2 linked regions of the Drosophila melanogaster genome follow. The protein of the gene in region 1 purifies or fractionates together with the protein of each later gene. This does not show direct contact. Each region holds a gene or a part of one and is shown on either strand. Other genes may lie near its edges.

Region 1 (6,380 bases):
AAAGTGTTTACTGGAGTGATTACAAAAAAAAAACAAATCCCTGCCTAAAACACCACTTAAATTAAAATTCATTGGGGTTTTTTGACCATCACTATTGTGAAAGATATGATAACAGAATGCAATTCTATTATGATTCCGTAAAAGTTCACGCAAAGACAATTCTTGAGTGCATATTTTGTCTAGACGATTCATACAAAAGGCTAAAAATAGACCAAAAAGCACATTTTCAATAAAATGCAAGCTTTCGACATAAGGTCCGATCGGTAAACAATTTTATAGTAACATGAACTTAAAAAAAAGTTGGAAACAAACTAAGACAAAACAAAAATATTTGTTGATTGAAAAATATAATAACATTTAAATGTTATGTATTCAATGATAATTTTAGTTGTTTGGCTTGAAGGGTACTTTTACAATTGTGTACTTATCAAACTTTTAAATATAAAATTTTAATATTTTTACAGTTTTAATATACTCTAAGATTACTACTGTATTTCTTCTATGAGAATAAAAATCAATCTTTATTATTGTTTGGGATGAAACTTTAAAAACATTTTGTAATTTATTAAGGCTAGTTTAAGAAATGGTTGAAATATAAGAATAAGAAATATAATAAGAAATATATTAATTTAAAACCTCCTGACATCTCCGATTTTACTGTGGGCAAACCAATCAATAAAAGTATTATAATAGAATGGAAAATGAATAAGAAATTAAAAAATTTTAAAAAGAAGTTTTCCCTGCAATAAAACTGAAAGAAAAAATCTTTAGACTTTTTGATCTGCGAACTTCGAAGACTTCAGAATAGTATTGGGTGAGTACGCTACTATTTAGAGGATAGGATCATTATAAATAAAAATATGCAAAATAAACTCTTAACTCCCACGGCAATGATAATAATGGTGTTAATTTGCATGGAAAGTATCGTCATGGTACGGTTCCTTCGTTCGCAATTTATCCGTTAGATCTGCATTGTTACGTTACGTAGAGCAGTCTAACGGTTAATTCGCCAAGACGGAAACGAAGTTGCTGCTTTTATTGTTGTTGGCTGCCACTGATTGGAGAGCTCTTTCGCGCTCACATTGTGGTTGTTGCTGTTGCTGCCACTTCTGTGGGGGAAAAAAGGAAAAGGCAAGGGAAAAGAAGCAAAAAGCATTTCCAATTTGGAGGCATTAAATAGCGTGGGAGCGAGAGGGGTGCAGATATAGACGTACGCCTACGTGCAAATATGCGATTTCTGCTGACGGAAATTGCAAGTTGCGATTACATAGGCACTCATTCTACCTTGATTGCACATGGTCTTATGTATTCCGAAGTGTTTGCAGATGGATAAGAGCCCGTAAGAGTTGTAAAACCTCTGCCATTTATGTGCAGCCCTTTGTTCTCTATCCCCCTCCCTCTTCAATTTTCCGCTTGTACATACAGAAACGAACAAAGAAACGGCTGGCAAAGCAAAAGAAAAGAGCCAAACGCCGACGTCAATGTCGGCGTCGACGCAGGCAGCGGCAGCGACCGACGATGTGGCGACCGAAAAACAGAGTCAGCGAAGAGCGCCTGTTTTAGTGCAACACCAACATTCAACGAGAGCGGTTCGTCGACGCTGTGCGGAAAGATTACAGAGCGAACGAGAGAGACCGAGCCAGAGCGACGACGCCCCGCAACGAGAACAACAAAAGAGCCGAGTGCGCGTGCAAGAGAGATAGCTGACTTGTTGCCCAGTGAGAGGCCGGCGAGAGCGAGACGGACGATCAGTGTGCGAGCGACGAAAAAGAAAACAAAGATACTCGCCCAGAGCAGTTGGCTACCTGTCTTTGGCCTGGTATATAAGTGTGTGTATGCGAGAGAGAGTAAATAGCGGGCAACGCAGCAGTACATAAACGAAAAGCAGCGTGGTCGTTAGTCGAACAAAAACTCTCAAAGCGAACGGACGTGTGCGGTCGGTTGTTTCGATACTCCTGCTTTATCGCTATCCAAACAGAGTGAAGCGACCACTATAAATAACGAAACAAGAAACATGTGTTTATATTACAACCAGAGCTCAAAGCTTCAGTTGCATAATAATAATAATAATAAAAAAGCAATCTGAAGCCAATTTCCTTTGTGTGACAAATGCCGTAGCAGCAACAACAGAAGCACAACACAACTACGTCTGCTGGCTTATGTACGTCGCGCGCGCTTGTGTGTGTGTGGGGCAGAAAACATAGAGCAAAGCATAATACACAATAAAGGTGCCCGCGAAAGCAGAGCAGCCGAAAGTGCCAGCGCGTGTTGGTGTGGTTTGAATGTGCAGGCGAAGTGAAGAAGTAGAAAGAAAATAAAATAAAATAAAAGTGAAGTGGAGCATAGTGAAGAAAGAGAAGCAGAAACGCTGACTCAAAACTCAAGTGTGGATTATTTACTTGGATTATTCCTCTTGCCATTGGATTATTTATGTATACAAGGCGACCACCGCGATGCCAATTAACTGGCTGGATTATTAGTGGATTAAAGATTGGATACAAAGGTACATGATTGGCGTTAATCAACACTGCTCTCGACCGGCAGCTGTTGCGCTCTCCCCCCACCAACCACAGCCCCTCTTCTGTTTTCTCTTGATGACCCCCTCTCTTTCTTTCTCCTTTTGTCCCAGCAAGTAAGAATTTCGATTGGACACACGGCAATTGAAAAAGGGGAGCATGAGAATATGAGCGTGTGTGACTGATTTTTTTTTACTGCTCTTTCATTTAGCAACGTTTTTTGTTTTATGTTTATGTACTTGTTTCTTTGAATGAAAGCAATATGCGAGTGTGTGTGTGTGCGTGCTTGTGAAAGAGGAGATAAAGCCGCAGTCTCGGTTCTGCATTCTCCGAATTTTCGCTGGGTTGTTGTTTTTTCTGTTCCCTGTCACAGTCTCGCGTTTCCCTTCTTTCAACATCCCTTCGCATCCCTACCCACACACACACACACAAACATACGCGAGCATATAAACACACGCACACCACACACAAATAAGAAATTCCGCTGCTTTTTTTTTTATTATCCTTTTCATGTTGGTACTCACTCACATTTTTTTGCGCGCGCGAGAATCCCTGAGACTTTAAACACGGCAATGGAATGGGTTCGGTAAAATAAGAAGGGAAAGGGCCAACAGAAGGGTTCCTCTTTTCGCACAGCACTTAAAAGTGATGTAAAAAGGATTTAAAGAGGCCTGCTGGCAATTTCTTTTCGCCCTCTCCCATATACAGTCATTCATATTCCATTGCCATATTTTCTGTACACAAATATAATTTTCCATATTCTGTGTGCCCCCGGAGTTGAAAAAGTTTTTCCGAAAAGTTTACCGTATGTACCTTGACTTTTTACTGGCGCGTTGATGCAAAAACAACTTGAAGTTGTTTGAAATACACATTTTGTTCGACGCCCCCACAGATCCGCCCCCCACTTTCGATGTACTTGGCATCTGGTTAAAACTCCACTCGGCACTCTTCACTCTCCCCCCTCCACCCTTCCATCCATAATAAAACAAAGCACCCCTGTGCAACTCTGCTCCCCCCTCTTTTGATCCCAAAAGTGCTGTGCATTTCAATATATTCGACGTAGGCATTCCCATGGCAACTACAACATCCATTATCGAGGGCCCCCACATCCATCGACTGATTGCAAATAATAGCTGCCAGATTGCGACTCCTTTCTGTCTACTGCTCAAGTCCCACAAGCTTTAATTTGGGACATCATGTCTGAGTTAAATGCATTTTGATTTCTTTGAGCTAAAGCGTTCTCTAACAAATTAAAGTCAAAGCATATTCACTAAACTCTAAAAATTGAAATGATCTTTAAGTTTCGATGTTCATGCAACAACATATTTGTTTATTTTACTTAATAAGTTCTTGTCTTTGATCATTTATATTGAGTCAGCGTACTTGGCAACATCATTAAAATATTTTCTGAACAGATCTCTTATGACGATCACTGTAGAAACTTTATCACCATTTCAACTATATTAAAACTGATTCACGAAGAATGATGCAAAAGAGAAGATTGCAGTGAGGAAAAATACGATCCCACCGAGTTCATTAACTCTACCAGTTTTCCCAGAAAGTGTATATTTCCCTTGCCTCCATTATTCTATCGTAAACAGCGAGGGGCGAGTGGAGCTTTAAGCTTCTTCGCGCACCAACGAGGCTATACCGATATAGCTTCGGCTTATTGCTTTCTGCGGCTCAGCGTCTGATTTATTTATAATCTTCAGCACGCTCTCTTCTCGAGTCGATTTACATTTTCCATTTCACATTTTCCATGCGCTCCTTTATTCGCATTTAATTTTAACTTCTGGCATTATCTATTTTGCAGATTGACGCTTGTGCGAAAAACAAAAGCGAATTTTTAGCGGCGAGAGTGTATTATTACTATGATGACGCCAGAATCGAAAGCAATACAGCCGGCAGCAGCAACAACAAAGCAAACAGCAGAAGCAACAGCAACAACAACAATGGCTCACACACAACAAAAGTCGCAGTTGTCAACGTTGGCGAAAACAACAACGACAACGGCAACGAATAAGGCGGCCAAAAGCGTTGTCAGCAATGCAAATAGCAGTGGCAACAATTCGAGCAAAAAGCTGGCTTTGTCTCAGTCTCAGAAAACAACAACAACAACAACACCACCAACGACGACGACAACAACAACAGCAGCAGCAGCAGCAGAGGCAACAACTAATGCTGATAAAATGCAAAAGCAACAGCAACTGAAGCAGCAACTTTTCGCTGCCTGCAGCATTAAAGTAAAAAGTGAAAACACATTAGCAACTACTGCGAATGCAGCATTAGCAGCAGCAACAACCACAACAACAACAGCAACACCAGCACTTGCCACCGGCAAAGCAGCAAAAACAATATTAGAAAACGGCATAAAGAAGGAATCCACGCCTCCGGCTGTCGAATCCGTTGAGGCCTCCTCCTCATCGTCATCCTCCTCCTCGTCCTCCTCATCATCATCGTCCTCGTGGCCGACGACAAGGAGAGCCACTTCAGAGGACGCCAGCAGCAATGGTGGCGCCTCCGCCGACGAGGAGAAGTCGGAGGAGGACCCAACGGCAGCTGTGGCTGCGTCTTCAACGGCGACAACGACTTCCGATTTGGCCACAACTTCAAGGCCACGCCCCGTCCTTCTAACGGCCGTCAATCCGCACATCATCTGTCACCTGTGCCAGGGATATCTGATCAATGCCACCACCATCGTCGAGTGTCTGCACTCCTGTAAGTATCCTTCCGCCGATGAACTTCATCAAATTGTATTCTATTTGCGATGCGGACTTGCACAAGTCAATAACCTTTGAGTGGCCAGGAGATACAGATACAGATACAGATTTTTTGAACTCCTAATGGTTCTAATTCAAACTACCCTGTTAATGGAATGAATGAATGCGCTATTCTTGGCTTTACACTTTACTTACACTTGAGCAGTTTCAAACGGAAACTTTAAGAGCTTGTACAAAAGAACTTTTGAAAACTTGTCCGATTTTGCTTGATGAAAACCATTACAAATTAATCAATGTGGGAGTAAGTTTAAGTTAAAAGAAGAAATTCCTAAATGGTTAAATTCGTTTGGATTCACTTTAAATGGTTACCATCCAAAGCGAAATAATTACTTTCCGTTGAGAGAAAATTTTCAAAGTTCTCCAACAAGTTTACATAAATTTAGATAGAAACTTTTTTCATCAAGATATTAAAAACGAGAGCTACAAGAATATGTAATGCGATTAGGTTCGGTATATTTGTATCTCAGAGTAATTAGAATTTTGGGTATTTAGATTTTATCCCATAAATCCTTCGGCCAATGTCCAGGGATTGGGAAAAGTTGCAGCTAGTAATCGCTGTGGCTTAATTATTATGCCAACTGCCGACTAAGGGCACCATCCCCGCCAAATTCCATTTCCAATACCCATACTCAAATGTCTAGATGTTCTGCAAAATTGCCTAGACGCGATGAGTTATGTTTACTTCGGAGGGCGGAGAATTTAGCCAGGGCGAGGAGCAGTAGCTCTATGTTGTGGCAGCAGAAGGGAGCAGGAGGAGGAGTAGCAGCAGTAGCAGCAAGAGGGTTGGGCGCTTCGGAGCAGGAACACAGACGACACGCAGATGTTGCCGGGCGATAAGTTTGTGGGCACATTAATGGTCCCGGCCTCGAAAGTACTTAGCTCGATTGATTGAGAAACTGTTCGAGGTGGCGGGCGAGAGATGATCCCTGCTCCTCGCACCACTGGTAAAAATCCCGGATGCATTATCAACGACACAGATATTAACACAACATTAGCATTCAGGCGGGGGACTAAACGCCATAAAACTAGCGAATGTGGCCATTCATCAACAGCCGTTCGGTTCTCCATTCCGTTCGGATATTAA
Region 2 (9,486 bases), on another chromosome or scaffold:
GTGCCTTTGGTTGCCAAAGTACAACAATAATGCATTCCAATAACAATAGATCGAGTGCCACTGTGGGAACATATCACTCTGTCTCTGCGCATACGCTACCCCTTCCCTTCGCAAACGCTTCGTTCGTCTGTTTCCGACAAGCACAACCAATAATAAAGTAAGTTGTATAAAGTAAGAGCAAGGGAGAAAGGCGCTAGAGGTTGCCAAGTAGTGGTGGTTGTGAAGGAACGAAAAAAAGAAGATGAAGTATAGCAGCAATCGAATTTGAGTCGGGCGGTAGACATTCGAGTGTACAGACACAGAAAACTGGATTCGGTCTCGGGTATTTTATTTTGTTTTCACAGTGGAAGGGGGCGCACAGTCGGGGTGGTTGAGCACGCATACACATGCCCGCCAGCTGTAGTCTTGATTCCTGTTTTTTTTACTCGTTTTGGTTTTGCTTTGTCAACTGCTGCCGTTTCATTCCAACCCCAAGCGAACGCACGGCATCCCGCTCGCACGCGCTATCTGACCAGGGCCACTCCTAGTGGCGTCGCACTCGCACCCGTGCATTTCGGTATAGAGAAAAGTTATTAGTCGCAACGGTATCTGAGAGGAGAGAAGCGGATCCAGCTGCACACCAACACACACACACACACATTCAGCACACATGCGCTCATTTTGTTTCCGATCCGAGCAAAAGTAGAGTTGTCGCTGTAGCGCGCGGTTCAGTTTGAAACTTAACTTGGCGGCGTGCGGTTCTTGCGCTCTGCTCTCTTTGCGTTCGTGTTGGTGTGGTGTCGATGTGTCGCATACCGCATGTGTATTGAACGGGGGAAAAAAAAAGCGCCGACGCGACGCACACACACCCTACCACCGTTTCGTAGTATTTATTTATATATTTATTTTTGGCGATCAATGCAAATCGGTGCTGACTATAAGTGATTAGTGAAAACAATTAATGCTGTGCGGCGTCTAAAGTTGCGTCGTTTTGAATGTTAGGCATGTACAGGTGCCTCCAAATATACAATAATACAGTACAGCAAGGAAAGCAAAAATGAAAACGGTAAAACATATTTTTTCTGATGAGACGCTGTCGTCGGCGCATGCTCTTTGCCTGTTGTTTGCGCCGCATTGTTGTCATTGCTCCCTGCCTCTTCGTTTTCTCCTTCTCCTCTTCCTCTGTTTCTGCCTCTTGCAACTCAATTTTTGGCTAAGGGAAAAATCAAATAATGATGGCATTATTGTATGCCGCCACACGCACATGCACACACACACATGCACATATCGTGGCGCGGTAGAAAGAAACCAGTCTTTCGGTTGCAAGTTGAAGATGCTGCTGTGCCTAGGTTTATTACCCCCCTTCCAAATCCGTTCCGCTCTTAGCCTGCCGATGGAAATGGAAGCCAAAATCCACCCCCGATACACACCAAATGTAACTGAAACTCCTAACTATTATTGGTGGCGCCGGTTGCTCCTTCCGCTCCTCTGAGCCGCGGCCATTTCTTACTCCTGGACAACTGGCGACAGCATTTTGAGCGCCCAGCTTAGGTCTTTGAACCTGTCCCCTTGGATATCACCATGATGGCTTATAACCATCGCCCAAGGGCCATCCGTAAATAAAAGTGGTCTCCCTTACACCCACTCGAACTTCCTCTCTGCGTAGTAGATGGGAGGAGGTGATGGAGAAGGGGAATATGCAGCAGAGAGCAATCCTACTATAAATAGATGTTTCGGGCACAGGCAACGCTGACAAGTGACCTGCTTTAGGTGTTGGTGTGCATGCACATATGAAAAACAGTGCACTTTTAGTGGGTCACGAATCATGAACAAATTAAAATATTTATTTACCTGTTCCGTAAAAAGTACTGAATACACGGTGGGGCTAGTGTTGTACAAAGTTGTAGCTGCAATCATTTGTAATTTCCCATATAATATGTTGGTGTTTAAGCTTACCACGTCTCACCTAAACAGTATCCACTGTAAGTAAATTACCTCGTGAGTGAACGATCATCCAAAACAAAGTGTATCTCTCGTTCCCTTCTCACATTTTCGTCCCGACTTTGTTTTCGTTTTCGTTTTCTTTGGCGTTTTTGGACCCAGATCGATCCCGTCTTTGTCTTTCTCAATGGTAGTGCGTCCCTGTCGCACCCCCTTCTTTCTTTTTCTGTTCCTCGTCCCCCTTTTCGCGTTGGAGAGCAAGAGAGAGAGTCTTTGGCGGGAGTAACATGCAGTCGCAGTTTGTTGTTGTGCGGTTTGTTCGTCAAGCGCTAAGAGAATATGAATAAGAATATAAATATAAATTTAAACATGAATATGAAGCATGCCCCACGGATTCGGAGCCGCGCCAAGTGTGTCCGTGTTTGTTTGTGTTTAAAGCAATTTACTGATAGTCTGTGTGCGTTTCCTCTTTCTCTTTCCAGCAGTGGGGACACCGAAAGTGAATCAGCAACAACAATACGTACACCACCACCTTCCCCGGAAGCCACCACATCTGTAAAGGTCAACTCCACCACTCGCGTGGACCCCCAGCGGCCACTAAGGTGCCTGGAAACACTCGCCCAGAAGGCAGGCATCAGCTTCGACGAGGACTTTGCCAAGAGTCCATCCCAATCGCCCAGCTCTAAGGCAGCACGTGGGTCAGTCGGAACGCCATCAATCAGACGGCGCCACCCACTACTACCGCTCAGCAGCAGATCGCCAAGCGCACCCGACTCAAAGACAACCGGCCGCAAACTGGAGAAGTCACAGAGTCCAGCTCAACAGGTGGCGGCCGCCACCAATGTGCCGCTGCAGATCTCCCCCGAGCAGCTGCAGCAGTTATATGCAAACAATCCCTACGCCATTCAGGTGAAGCAAGAGTTTCCCACGCACACGACCAGTGGCAGTGGAACTGAACTAAAGCATGCAACCAACATTATGGAAGTTCAGCAGCAGTTGCAGCTGCAGCAGCAGCTGTCGGAAGCCAACGGTGGAGGAGCAGCCTCGGCCGGAGCCGGAGGAGCAGCTAGTCCGGCCAACTCGCAGCAAAGCCAGCAACAGCAGCACTCCACAGCCATCAGCACCATGTCGCCGATGCAATTGGCAGCGGCCACTGGAGGAGTTGGCGGGGATTGGACACAGGGAAGGACGGTGCAGCTAATGCAACCCTCCACCAGTTTCCTGTATCCCCAAATGATTGTGTCGGGAAATCTGTTGCATCCAGGAGGCCTCGGTCAGCAGCCAATCCAGGTGATCACCGCCGGCAAGCCATTCCAAGGCAACGGCCCCCAGATGCTTACCACCACGACTCAAAACGCCAAGCAAATGATCGGTGGCCAAGCGGGATTCGCTGGCGGAAATTACGCGACCTGCATTCCTTCGAACCACAATCAGTCGCCTCAGACGGTGCTCATCTCGCCGGTGAATGTCATCTCCCACTCGCCACAGCAGCAGCAAAACCTTCTGCAATCAATGGCCGCCGCAGCTCAACAACAGCAACTTACCCAACAGCAGCAGCAACAGCTTAACCAGCAGCAACAGCAGCTCAACCAGCAGCAGCAACAGCAACAGCTGACTGCCGCTCTGGCCAAGGTGGGAGTGGATGCGCAGGGCAAGCTGGCCCAGAAAGTGGTTCAGAAGGTGACCACCACCAGCAGCACGGTGCAGGCGGCGACGGGTCCTGGATCTACTGGGTCAACACAGACCCAGCAGGTGCAGCAGGTTCAGCAACAGCAGCAGCAGACCACCCAAACCACTCAGCAGTGCGTGCAGGTTTCACAGTCGACTTTGCCAGTCGGTGTGGGTGGACAGTCTGTTCAGACTGCCCAACTTTTGAACGCTGGCCAAGCGCAACAAATGCAGATCCCTTGGTTCTGGCAGAATGCGGCGGGCCTGCAACCCTTCGGCTCCAATCAGATCATCCTGCGAAACCAGCCAGACGGAACCCAAGGCATGTTCATTCAACAGCAACCGGCGACGCAGACTTTGCAGACCCAGCAAAACCGTAAGAATATTGTCATGTATATTGCATCGGATAGGTACTAAAGTCAACTATCTTCCTACAGAGATTATTCAATGCAACGTGACGCAGACGCCCACTAAGGCACGCACTCAACTGGATGCACTTGCTCCCAAGCAGCAACAGCAGCAGCAGCAGGTTGGCACTACCAACCAGACGCAGCAGCAGCAACTAGCGGTGGCTACTGCCCAGTTGCAGCAACAGCAGCAGCAACTCACTGCAGCCGCTCTGCAGCGACCAGGAGCCCCTGTCATGCCCCACAATGGAACTCAAGTGCGTCCGGCCAGTTCCGTATCCACACAGACTGCCCAGAACCAGAGCCTGCTGAAGGCCAAAATGCGCAACAAGCAGCAGCCGGTGCGCCCCGCTTTAGCCACATTGAAAACCGAAATCGGTCAAGTCGCAGGACAAAATAAGGTAGTAGGCCACCTGACCACCGTGCAGCAGCAGCAACAGGCGACGAATCTCCAGCAGGTGGTTAATGCGGCGGGCAACAAGTGAGTATTGTTTGTTTATTATCTGCCTTGTCACAGTACTTATTTTTGCATCTTTCCAGAATGGTTGTGATGAGCACAACGGGCACTCCGATCACCCTGCAGAATGGACAGACCCTTCATGCAGCCACTGCGGCAGGAGTCGACAAGCAGCAACAGCAGCTACAACTGTTTCAGAAACAGCACATCCTTCAACAACAAATGTTGCAACAGCAAATTGCTGCCATTCAAATGCAGCAGCAGCAAGCGGCTGTTCAGGCCCAGCAACAACAGCAGCAACAGGTCTCTCAGCAGCAGCAGGTTAACGCCCAGCAACAGCAAGCGGTGGCGCAACAACAACAGGCAGTCGCGCAGGCTCAGCAACAGCAGAGGGAGCAACAGCAGCAAGTTGCCCAAGCCCAGGCGCAGCATCAACAGGCTCTCGCGAATGCCACTCAGCAAATCCTTCAGGTGGCGCCAAATCAATTCATCACGTCCCACCAGCAACAGCAGCAGCAGCAACTTCACAACCAACTGATACAGCAGCAGCTACAGCAACAGGCGCAGGCACAAGTTCAAGCCCAAGTGCAGGCTCAAGCGCAACAGCAACAACAGCAGCGAGAGCAGCAGCAGAATATTATCCAGCAGATTGTGGTGCAACAGTCAACTGGAGCGACTTCTCAACAGCAGCAGCAGCAACCGCAACAGCAGTCTGGACAGTTGCAGCTTAGCAGCGTGCCGTTTTCGGTTTCACCATCGATGACGGCGGAAGATATTGCCGGAATAACATCCAGTGCCCTACAAGAAGCTCTCTCGGTGTCTGGCGCCATCTTTCAGACAACCAAACCGATTACTTGCAGTTCCTCTACGCTCCCCACAAGCAGTGTGGTCACAATTACCAGCCAGAGCAGCACTCCTCTGGTCACCAGCAGTACGGTGGCCAGTATGCAGCAGGCTCAGACGCAAGGTACTCAGATCCATCAACATCAGCAGCTAATCAGCGCCACTATTGCCGGAGGGTCTCAACAGCAGCAGCAGCAGCAGCAACTGGGACTACCTTCACTTACACCCACCACGCCCTCACCTACAACAAATCCCATTCTGGCCATGACCTCGATGATGAATGCCACCGTGGGTCACCTATCCACTGCCCCACCCGTTAGTGTTTCTAGCACCGCTGTCACTCCATCGTCTGGACAGCTGGTCACACTAAGCAGTGCTAGTAGCGGTGGAGGAGCAGGCTTTCCAGCCACGCCCACCAAAGAGACACCTTCAAAAGGGCCCACCGCAACCCTGGTGCCCATTGATTCGCCCAAGACTCCTGTATCAGGAAAGGACACCTGCACTACCCCCAAATCATCTACTCCTGCCACTGTTAGCGCATCCGTAGAGGCCAGTAGTTCCACAGGCGAAGCCCTGTCCAATGGAGATGCCTCAGATAGGTCTTCCACGCCGTCAAAGGGCGCTACCACTCCCACCAGCAAGCAAAGCAATGCAGCAGTGCAGCCACCGAGTAGCACCATTCCCAACAGTGTCAGTGGGAAAGAAGAGCCGAAGCTGACAACCTGCGGCAGTTTAACGTCCGCAACATCAACATCAACCACGACAACGATCACCAATGGGATTGGAGTAGCCAGAACGACAGCCAGCACGGCTGTCTCAACCGCTAGCACAACCACTACCAGTTCTGGCACCTTTACCACAAGTTGCACCAGCACAACCACAACCACCACGTCGAGTATCAGTAATGGATCGAAGGATCTCCCCAAGGCGATGATTAAGCCGAACGTCTTAACTCACGTCATCGATGGCTTCATCATCCAGGAGGCCAACGAGCCATTTCCCGTCACCAGACAGCGATATGCAGACAAAGACGTCAGCGATGAGCCGCCAAGTGAGTATAAACTTCTGGTACCAATGCTTTTTCGCAATCTTAACGTGTCATTCCTTCGCGCAGAGAAAAAGGCAACCATGCAGGAGGACATCAAGCTAAGTGGAATAGCATCAGCTCCAGGCTCGGATATGGTTGCTTGCGAGCAGTGTGGAAAGATGGAGCACAAAGCAAAGCTGAAACGGAAGCGCTACTGTTCGCCAGGATGCTCGAGGCAGGCAAAGAACGGCATCGGTGGAGTTGGATCAGGAGAGACGAACGGCCTGGGGACAGGTGGTATAGTTGGGGTGGACGCAATGGCATTGGTGGACAGACTGGATGAAGCCATGGCTGAGGAGAAGATGCAGACAGAATCATACCAGACAGTATCGGACGCTTTGCCAATTCAAGCGGCTACGCCGGAGGTCCCACCGATTTCGATGCCAGTGCTGGCGGCTATGTCGACATCTTCACCACTTTCGTTGCCCCTGACATTGCCCTTGCCAATTGCAATAGCTCCCACTGTGTCACTGCCAGTGGTTTCAGCTGGAGTGGTTGCGCCGGTCCTAGCAATACCATCCTCGAATATAAATGGATCCGATCGCCCTCCCATCAGCAGTTGGAGTGTGGAAGAAGTTAGCAATTTCATCCGAGAACTGCCTGGTTGCCAGGACTACGTGGACGACTTTATACAGCAGGAGATCGACGGCCAAGCGCTGCTGCTGCTCAAAGAAAACCATTTGGTTAACGCCATGGGCATGAAGCTGGGTCCAGCTCTCAAAATTGTGGCCAAGGTGGAGTCCATTAAGGAGGTCCCGCCAGGCGATGTAAAGGATTAAAAACACGCAACAAAGTCAAGGTTTCAAAAGACCGCTTTCTTTAGTTTCCCGCGTTTCACCTAAATGTAACGACATTTACTTCGTGAGCGAATGTGATCAGACAGAACAAAGTGAATCACGTTCCGACTCACCACTTCTCACAGCACGTACACCCTAATCATCAGCTACATGCACCTAATCTACAAAGGGAACTCCCCAGAGAGCAACCGGTGCCTGGAATCACTGACTCTGTTGCGAGGCCCATCCCATCCAGAATCTATGCGAGAAATCCATAATTAGGTGATGTAGTTGTTTTTCCCGCACATGACGAAAGCAAGGAATATGACCCTCCTTCGGCGCCGAAGCTGCAGCTAGTTTAAGCACCCCGATCAGACCCCAAGATTGTGGCAATAGTAGAGTCCATGACTCTGTGCGACGAAAAGGACGGGGAGGTTATAGGACCGCTGGCGCCACCGCCGTTGGATCAACAGTCTTCAGCAGTCTACCAGAGTCTGAGGATAGGAGCGGGCAGTATCCTGAGCTTCTATTTGACCATGCTGATCTCCCACGACCTTTGCATGGACCTTTGCCTACCTGTGGACCGGGTCCAACCGGGTCTGCCACCCAAGCTGAATTTGATTCACTTGAAGCGGACTTTCAATCCTTTTGTACGTAATCTAAACATAGCAAGAGGGGTAATATCGTAGCTCAAATGACAGGACGCCACATGTATGATAGAGCATAGACTGCCATCCCAGTCATCAATTCATCACTTTGTATAGAAGTTCACAATTACTCATAATCACTAACGTATTTATTTGAACGTTGTTAATCATTTCACAACACCCTATGCAAAGAACATGAAAAAATCATTTGAACTAGAGGTAATCTGGGATTATATTTACGTAGTTAGAATTAAAACTTAAGCCTGAAGTAATTCCTAAGTGAAACTGAATTGAATCCAACTAAACCTTTAATTTATTGATAAACTTAGGTCGTAATGAGTAACGTCTGAAGAATTTTTGCCTTTATTGCAAGGTTCCGAAAACGCTGTCCAACTTTTATAGATCAAATCAGTGGTCGGAGTTTAATTTTTTTTTTAGTTTTACGAAACCTTTTTTTCCTACTGCTGAAGTAAATAAAACTGTAAAGTGATTAATGGAAGTGAATATAATGTCGTGATCGAGTTTTATTGGAATTGTTCATTTCGTACCTTCTTGCCAAATATGTGGATATTGAAACAAATATGTGGGTAGTAGTCACTCATTCTAAAAACACATGGTAATTTTCCGAAAGGTTATTTGAAATATGGTTTATTCAATTATATATATTTTTCTTTCAAATATGCAGACACATAAAAATGTAGAATATATCTTCAATATTGTTATCGGTATAATGTTTCGAACAGCTATGCATCTTAAGGTTTCAATTTAATTTCATAATAATATTTTGTGGCTGTGTTTAATTTTTATGTTTGTTACGTTTAGTTAGCGCTTGCAGATTGATTTACATATAGATTTGCTTCAACATTACAACGACTTTGGTTTTGTTTACAATTTATTTGGTGTTGCCTTTTGTCTCGATTTCGCGATCGTTTTGTTGCGTTTCATTAATTTGTTTATCTTACGATCTAGAGCTACGAAAACTTTGTTTATTGCGTCAATCGCGTTTCGTCGTGGGCTCGTTTACCATTTTGTTCTCGATTGTTATCTATAGTTTCAATCAAATCGCAGTATTCTACACGGATTTCTAATGTTTTTGGGTCGATTAATATTTTATATGGCAGGAGAACTACCTCTCAGCTGCTTCTTGTATACCGATACATAAACGTTTGCCTCGCCGTCTCGTTTTGGGCTCAATGAAAATGCTTCTGAGCTGAGTACTGAGCTGTATTTCGCATCTAAATATATATTATTCATACTCCATATACTATATGGTAGTTTAACACTTGTATTTTGCAAATTGGCAACATTTGAACAAAGAAAACGTCGTCTCTATTTGGTTTTAATTCTTGCAACATCGAAACCGCACCGAGGTTTCACTAAAAATCGCACAACTTCTCATCGGATTATGAACACGGGTTGAGGTTGGATCGCGTGGTTAGCTTATAGACGTACTGGAGGAGGGGACGTTGGGTTGGATTCGGGTCGAGGGCACGAGGAAATCGGTTGAGGTCCGAGGTTGCTGGGGTTTCGAGGTCCTACCCGAGAATATCGTTATCTAAAGTAAGTCACTCAAGCAATTTTTTCTTGGTGTTTGTTTGTTTGTCTACTATGGATAGTTGGTGTGTGGTTTACATTTCGATATTGCCTAGATACAATTTTAGAATTATTTAAGTTTAAAGCG

What was found. Proteins that work in one complex are often made in the same cells at the same time.
Region 2: the proteins of Psc (region 1) and ph-d purify together in Drosophila melanogaster (affinity purification with western blotting; 7 studies listed by BioGRID, with this or other methods). This does not show direct contact.

The regions. Positions count from the first base shown.
Region 1 is NT_033778.4:12,976,171-12,982,550, reverse strand, and holds the start of Psc (posterior sex combs), read left to right. Parts: upstream 1-1,556; 5' UTR 1,557-2,503; intron 2,504-4,329; 5' UTR 4,330-4,387; coding exon 4,388-5,234; intron 5,235-6,380. UniProt on the Drosophila melanogaster protein: Polycomb group (PcG) protein. PcG proteins act by forming multiprotein complexes, which are required to maintain the transcriptionally repressive state of homeotic genes throughout development.
Region 2 is NC_004354.4:2,114,541-2,124,026, reverse strand, and holds ph-d (polyhomeotic distal), read left to right. Parts: upstream 1-2,234; 5' UTR 2,235-2,302; coding exon 2,303-2,340; intron 2,341-2,402; coding exon 2,403-3,964; intron 3,965-4,025; coding exon 4,026-4,476; intron 4,477-4,535; coding exon 4,536-6,346; intron 6,347-6,409; coding exon 6,410-7,161; 3' UTR 7,162-8,300; downstream 8,301-9,486.